Lepisosteus oculatus: one gene and its partner. Each later gene encodes a partner of the first gene's protein in a complex. Links are inferred from orthologs where the notes say so. Each region holds a gene or a part of one and is shown on either strand. Other genes may lie near its edges.

Region 1 (3,911 bases):
GGCGAGGGGGACGGGGAGGGGCTGGTGAGCGGTGTGCGGTCCGAGGAGCTGAGGGAGGAGAAATCGATCACCTCCCCCTTCTCCAGCACCAGTTCCGGCCGCCGACCCCGGCTGCCGAACTTGACGGGCGTGGAGGAGGCGCTGCGGTCCAGGAAGCCGGCCGCCTCCTTCTGGGCCCGACGGATGTCCTTCGCCTCCTGGGTGCGCGAACGCTTCTCCTTCAGCTGCATGGCGCTCTCCACCGGGTTGCGCCCCCCGCGCTTCCTCAGGCCCTCCACCGTGATGATGGGGTCCAGCGGGGGCTTGGAGGGGGCTGAGGGGGCAAAACACACCACAGTCAGATGAGGAAAACGGCCTCCTCCCCCCTCCCCACAGACACAAGGGGAGCAGGAACTGAGCACTGACTAGAATGAGAACTTCTCCATGCACAAGTTCAGCAGTACAGGCAAAACAGATTTACTGCTGAAGCTTTCCCCAGGCAGGCCTGCAAGAAAAAGCTGGACCAAGACTCTTGCAGGTGTTTGTAACCTTGCTGATGTTTGGGAAGCCCATCATGTCAGGGTGAAAAAGTCCTTTGTCTCCCTTGATTGACTGCTGGCATTAAGCTTTGAGAAGCCATTTTCCAAGAACAGTTGATCAGCAAGGCCATATGACCTCTATCCAGACAGAAATATGAGATGCTGGAACAGCATTCCTTTGGATTGTTTTACTCCTGTGCTCCAGGCACATGCCTCAGCTCAGAACCAGAGGAGAGAGCAGCGTTTCACCTTTTGTCTTCAGCAAGGAGACGGAGGTCTTGTCCCCCTCGGGCCTCAGGGTGGGTGGTCGGTTGTGTACCAGCTTCCACCAGCCTGGCTCCCCAAACTCCTGGGCTCCAGAACGGAAGAACATGGGGCTCCCCACCGACAAACACCCCGCCACTGTGCTCCACCATGTGGATGTCTTCTTCCTGCACGGTAGAGTCAGAGGGAGCAGATCAGCCACACACACCGCTGTCGTCCGTTCTCTCTGTTTCCAATTGCCAGTGCTAGCAATTACCCCAGTGCCCTACCTGGATCCCAGAAGGAAGGTCCAGTGTCTCCCGATAAAGGCACAGATGTCCTCCTTCCACCGGAAGTAGCCCTGTCGGCCGGTGCCCTCCAGCGAGAGGTTGTACATGGCCAGCATGACCACCTGGAGGACAGGAAGTCATGACCACTTCAAACATCAACAGGTGTCAACAGTGTTAATAACGTCATAGTATTATATGGCCCAAAATCGTAAATGTCAGCATGAGTAATTATTTTTCTGGAGAGCTGAAATAAGACCTTTAAACTGGACTCAATCAGATGATTTGGAGCCTGGAGACCCTTGAGCAGTCAGGGGTGGCCCAGAGAGAATATCCCTGGTTCATACCTGCTGCCAGGTGAGCCTCATCCTCTCAAAGTGCTCCTTGTCATCCTCTGAGCACTCACAGCAGGTGAACTTAAAGAAGTTGTCGCCTTTCAGGTAGCTGGGCTGGTCTCCTCGCAGCTGACCTGGATGTTGAACAAGGAAGCTAATGTTCAGAATCAGCACAGAAAAATAGGATTTTACTTTACTTGGGGCAACCTTGGGCAACCTTGTTGTAAAAGGCGCTATATAAAAATAAATTGAATTGAATTACTCTAAGGTCAACGCCCTCCCAAGAATAGTCAGAGTTCAGACAGTGTGAATATGGAGCTGTGATGTCAACACCCTGTAAGTCTGTATGCCTTCTTTACTGTGAGGAACTTAACTTAGCAAGCCCCTTTACCAGTCTATGAATTAGCAATTTTATTGCAACATGAGGGTTACTGAAGGATGCAGATGAGAGCTCAGATCCCAGGAGCTGTCTACACAGGCCAGTCTTGAGCAGGTGCCGAAAGGTGGTCAGGGACCGAGTGAGCAGTTTTAATTTCTGGGGGAGGTCCACTCCACTTTGAGGGGTGAGGGTGGAGAATGAACAGACTCTAGACGTGAGGGAATGAAGAGGAGGAGCAGAGATGGGGTGGAGAAGGCTGAGAGATAAGGGACTGAAGACCAGCAAGAGCAGAGGCGCTGAGTAATCAGTGTGCAAGAACAAGGGCTTCGAGGGGGATGTGTGTGTTAATAAGGAGCCAACAGAGTGACTAGAGCAATGGAGTGGCAGTAGAGCAGGGAGGAATAGAAAGGACAAGGAGAGCCACAGAGGTGTAGCTGACATCTGTCAGAGTCCGTCATCCGGCTGGCTGAGTCAGAGAGGGAGTTTGGCCAAGAGGGAATTGAGTGCACTGGGGAGAGCTTCCCGGCTGCAGAGATAACCCTTCCCTTCTTTACAAGAGCCAGTATTAGACTGTAGTTTAAAAAGGAAAAAAGCTTTAAGCCCACAGTCACCATTACAGATTCGGAAGCTGGCAGTGAGCTGCAGGTGCGTCTCACCGGCTGGGATCCACTTGTGACACTTATCACAGTAGAAGGACATCTCCTCCGTCCAGCTGGAGTCGGGCTCGTCGCCGAGGTCGCTGTTGAGGGAATCCCCGCTGTGGTCATGGGAGAGGTCCACAGAGGCCTGGTCCTCTGACTCCACGATCAGCAGCGTCTCCCCCTCCACCTCCCCCTCCTCCAGCCCCTCCGAGGCCGAGGTGCGCGTGGCCTCGTCGTCCATCCGCTGGCTGGACAGGCCCCTCATCTCGCCAGATCCCCCGTCCATCGCTGGCACGTACTCGCTTGACAGGGGCGCTCTGGGCCGGCTGCCTGCAGAGCCCCACAACCCTGCGGGACAGGGGACAGTTTCACTCCAACAGATACATTCAGGAAACAAGATGCAACTGGCAAAGCAGGTCCTGCGCTGATACTACAGAGGAAGAGAGAGAATCAGTAATAATAGGATTTTATCCAGACCAGTGTTGCAACAAGGTCTCTCAAGGAGCAAGGCCTTTTGTAGTTCTGATGAGCTGAATGGCCTGTACACATCATGAAATTTTCTTACACGTCCCATGTAAAGCAGACTCCCACACCCTCAAGGAAACTTACTAAGTATTCCAGCTCAACCCTCAGTTAAATGATTGAGCCTGGGATTGAACAGATCGCTTGCTTAAGCACCACATTTTGAAATTATGTTTATCTGCTGAAAATTTCAAACAATTTCAAGTAAGTAACTGAGACCTTGACTGGAACTAAAACTTGAAGACACTTCTGGCCTAGAGCCCATCAACCACGTTCAGGTACACACACCTGGCTTGGAGGACAGAGTCATTCAGCATCGGCCACACAGGCCAGAACACCCACAGTCAGCGGACCAGCCTGACTCACATAAGCTGTTGGCGATGTCTGAGCCTCTCTCAGGGTGGCCTGCCAGTCTAGGAGCCCTGAGCGCCTGCTGCTCTCCTCTCCCGCTCCTTCTCCAGCTCCCTGGTCAGACTGATCTGCTCTTCCAGTTGCCGCAGGTTCTCCCTTTTCCTGGCCTGCCGCTCCAGGTCCCGGACAACACCCTCCCGAAGTCTCTGCCGGAGATGCAAGAGCAGCACGATCAGAACAAGAGCATCAACAGGTGGCTCTCACACTCCTTGAGACAACTCTGTTAGATTTGCAATTGACTTAACCCCTTAAACGTCTCTTTAAAGCACAGGAGGACTAGTTCATTCTTTTGACTAATTCATGTCAAACACAAGTATAGATACACGGCTATATGCGTGCACACATACACAAGATTCTGACATTCATCAGCTAAAACTAACTTACTGAGGTAGCAGCATAGCAACAGAGTGTTTTCATAGAAAAAAACAACGTTTTTTCAATTCACACTGTTGTTAATGTATTTTACAGGTCTGTGTCCAGAATGTTTTTAAATCTGTTGACCTTCAATTAACTCGCCCATATATCCTGTATCCAGTCAGTACCTCACAGGGGACCTCTTACGCCAAACTCTATGC
Region 2 (3,911 bases), on another chromosome or scaffold:
CCACCGGCGTTCAGACACTCCTGCAGCGCACACCTCGCCAGCTCCACCGGCGTTCAGACACTCCTGCAGCGCACACCTCGCCAGCTCCACCGGCGTTCAGACACTCCTGCAGCGGACACCTCGCCAGCTCCACCGGCGTTCAGACACTCCTGCAGCGCACACCTCGCCAGCTCCACCGGCGTTCAGACACTCCTGCAGCGCACACCCCGCCAGCTCCACCGGCGTTCAGACACTCCTGCAGCGCACACCTCGCCAGCTCCACTGGCGTTCAGACACTCTAGCCCACAGCCTCACAGCCCGCAGCGTTGGCTCAAGCTGCTAGGGCTCCGCTGGAGCTCCCATCTTCCTGTTGTGGACTTCCTGTGGCTTCACCTTCACCTGCAATCTAAACCAGTCTTGGCCCTACAGGGGCTGGGGCACGCAGCCGACGGGAGAGGCCACCCTGTACCGTACACTGCTCTGTTAGCCCTTCCACACATTCAACGAGATCGAGGTTTGGACGGGGCTGGTACTTTAACGTCACGGCACCAGCAGGACAAAGAGGATGTGGACCACACCGAAAGCTTCCCATTCCTCACTTCAGTAAGCGTGAGGACTGCTCCTCTGCTGAGGCGGGCTAAAGAGCGTTCTGACTATGAAGGCAGCACATCCACAGAAAATGAAACACCCGATCGAAGGTCAAGGCGGTGTCGAGTAGAGGGTGAGCCTTTGGACTCTTGACTGGCAGGCTATGGGTACAAGTCCCCACTGCAGAGCGCTGGTGTACCCCCAGTGAGGTACTGTAACCAGCTCTGCTCCACCAGGGTAAACCAGGATGGAGCCGTGGGGCTCTTGTCTGCATCATTCTACGCCAACCAGGATGAGCTAAAGCATCTTGGGTGTGGCCTCCTGTCATTTGTATCCTTATGTCCTCAAACAGCACAGAGCACTACTGCACGCATGATCCAGGAAGAGCAGACTCCCACTTGCACCACTGGGGCAGAGTAGCAGACCCCCCCAGCGTTGCAGTGACAAGGTGAGGAGACGGAATGCGAGTTTGGCGGCTTTACCTTGGCGAACAGCTCCTGCTGCTGCCGAAGGAGCTCCTCCTCAGGAATGCCGAGGTTTTCCAGGCGGGAGCTTGCCTTCCTCCTCTTGAGCGCGACTGTTTTGCACTCTTGCAACACATCTTTTACTTCGGTGATGTAGGAGGCAAAGCCCAGGCTCTCGAGCGCTAGACAAAACAGACAGTCCTGTTTTAAGACACCCACGAAAGTCACTGTTCCAGGTTTAAAGCACACAGTACCTCCGGCACCTCTGCTGTAATTCATGACACTAAGCATCAGGATTCCTGTCATTTCTCTCAGGAAGCACTTTGCTCCCATCATGTACAGAATTGTAAGGATCATGACAAAGCTTCGCAGCAGGGTTGGTCTGTCTGCGTTACATTTAAATAAATCCAGGAGGTGAAGGAATATGTACATCAGAGGGTTCGGCTGTACCCAAACCGTAGAACGCGTTGCCATAATTGTTTCTTGTCCCTTTAACAAGCAAGCCACACAATACAACAACAGTGTGTGAAGCCTCGCTGTCAAAGTCAGCGAGTGGGAGTGGTTTTAAGGGGGAGGTTAAAAACGAGACCCATTAGCAAACGATTTAGCCGCACAAATCTGCGAGCAAAACAGTTCGCCCCCCCAAAAGAGACTGAATAATAGGCATCGGTAACGACTCTTACCGTGTATTACATGCTCAGGAGAGATCGTTTTCTTTTCCGACTTGTTACAGATCTCGTTAGCTTCCGACGAAATGAGGTGGATGAACTCAGTGCAACAATTCACCACCAGCTCCCTGGCGTCGTTCGCCACCCGCACGTTAGGAAGAGTTTCTTTAATCATTTTATTAATAGCTGCCCGGGGTATAGTGAGATCGTCGTCGTTCCCAGACGAAGAAGCCATTCTGTCCTGCCGTCCTTTTCCCGAAACACTGAACCTCAGCTGCGATTCGACTCCACGGCGGCCCGAACGGAGTCTCAACTGCACCAACCTACAGCTTCTCCGCCAAACTCCTAAGTACACCCCAAATCCCTGCTTTTACATCAATGGCGCTGCACCCTGCACAGTGTCTAACGCTGTCAAAGCGACCTATTGGATTTTTCATCCACCAGAAAAAAAGCGTAGGAGAAACCAACAGGATCAAATCAGCCGGTCTCCAAGCAGATTTCCTATCGCCTCAGCTGCTATTTAATTTACACATGATCCTAAACTCTTTAGACTGGCTTCCGCTGCATTGTAATTCCACAGTTTCGAAGGGACTGTTTTTCTCTCTCTCTAATGTTATAAACAATAAGGCTTATAACACCAGCTCCGAGAATAACATAATACTTTTGTTAATTCATTTCGGTGCTCGGTCCACAGCACCAGGCGTTGAAGCAGCAGGGTTTCTAATCGATTCCGGAAGCTATCCCATATTGCAACGGGTGACGTTTTTCCGCATCCGGCGACGTCACGGAATGTTGCCACACAGCGACCAATAGGGGGAGTTCGAGCCAGAGGGATGCTCTGTGGCTGGGTCTGAAATTGCCCAGCGTGGAGCTCCCTTGAAGTCGGCTGACCTGCAGTATACGCATAGACAAACAAATGCATTTTTAACTCTGCGTGAGAATAACGTCCATAGCGTAGCCTAGAGGCTTATCAAGCCTGATCTTATCCTGAGTTCGGCAACAGTAAAAGGACTGAAATTACCCCCTTACAGGTTGCTACTTCATTGCAGGTTAACCCACGGAAATGCTGGACTCGTTTGCTCAGCTGGGTGGGTAGGAGTCGCTGCGGTGAAGTAACCTCCTTTGAAGGTGCAACAGCGGTGTTCCCGATTCACAGACCTGTACTCTGCGCCGCCCCCAACATCTACTTCGATCGCTTTCTGGCTGCCATGAGCTTTAGCGACACAGGATAATAATAATTCCTCGCGGTTATATAACGTTTGTTATCTAAAAGGATCTCACGTTATCCGCCACCTGGGCGATGCACAGTCAGCAGCCTTTTATCTTTAAAAAAGTTTTGAATATAGCAAAAAGTTTAATAATTTACTATAAATGTATACTCTGTAGAATGATAGTTAAGTTAAAGATGAGGATAGGTTAGTGTTCATATAAACAGCACTGAACTACACCACTGTGATTCTATAGATGGATTATATATAGAATATTCTATTCCAAGAACCTCAGTTTTATTTTTAAATATAATATTAAATTTATATTTATACAACTTAGTCTAAAGTCTTTAGTCTTAGTCTTTTTATTGTTTTTACAGTGACTATGATCAGCACATTTTGCACACACCTATGTATTTATTTATTTTTATTTATCTTGTTTGTCTTTTGTTTTATAACTATTCTGATGTCTGTTTTGCTTGTCTTGGGCTGGACTGCTGTAACACATCAATTTCCCTACGGGATTAATAAAGTATTATCTATCTATCTAAAGCTGTTTCTATAAAAGCTGCTGGTGTGCTTTTGATAGGTGTCATGTTTCTTTTTTTCCAAAGTTTTCTTCACCATTTGCCAGAAAAAGTACACATGGGCTTTATCTTTAGGATAGACACATTTCTGGTTGATTTTCCATTGGCAAGTGAAGTTACAGAGTAAGATTTACCAGGTGTCCTGCTTGATTGTTGCAGATAAAATGGCTACATATACAGAAGATTTGTGTTTGTGTCACTTAGATCTTTCACTGTGTTGTGGGATTTAGTTTCAGTAAATCCCATTACCAGGCCATATGTTTCTAGAGCTGGGCTTTGATTTAATTACTCAACAGTCTTTACAGAAAGATTTTATGTTAAGTAACCTATTGCCTTATCAGGCAACATTGATTTATGTTATCATTTTATTCTAATTACAACGAAATACTAAAGATATACCATTGGTAAAATGGCAAA

What was found.
Region 2: kat14 (region 1) and dr1 share a complex: the UniProt entries of both Homo sapiens proteins name them as parts of the ADA2A-containing complex. The link is inferred for Lepisosteus oculatus from reciprocal best matches to the Homo sapiens genes KAT14 and DR1.

What each region holds. Positions count from the first base shown.
Region 1 is NC_090712.1:562,024-565,934, reverse strand, and holds the start of kat14 (cysteine-rich protein 2-binding protein), read right to left. Parts: upstream 2,690-3,911; coding exon 2,419-2,689; intron 1,518-2,418; coding exon 1,396-1,517; intron 1,174-1,395; coding exon 1,052-1,173; intron 950-1,051; coding exon 768-949; intron 314-767; coding exon 1-313. Other genes in the region: protein PET117 homolog, mitochondrial, read right to left, coding at 3,339-3,482. UniProt on the Homo sapiens protein: Component of the ATAC complex, a complex with histone acetyltransferase activity on histones H3 and H4. May function as a scaffold for the ATAC complex to promote ATAC complex stability. Has also weak histone acetyltransferase activity toward histone H4.
Region 2 is NC_090704.1:1,932,226-1,936,136, reverse strand, and holds the start of dr1 (protein Dr1), read right to left. Parts: upstream 2,465-3,911; 5' UTR 1,935-2,464; coding exon 1,715-1,934; intron 1,214-1,714; coding exon 1,050-1,213; intron 1-1,049. UniProt on the Homo sapiens protein: The association of the DR1/DRAP1 heterodimer with TBP results in a functional repression of both activated and basal transcription of class II genes.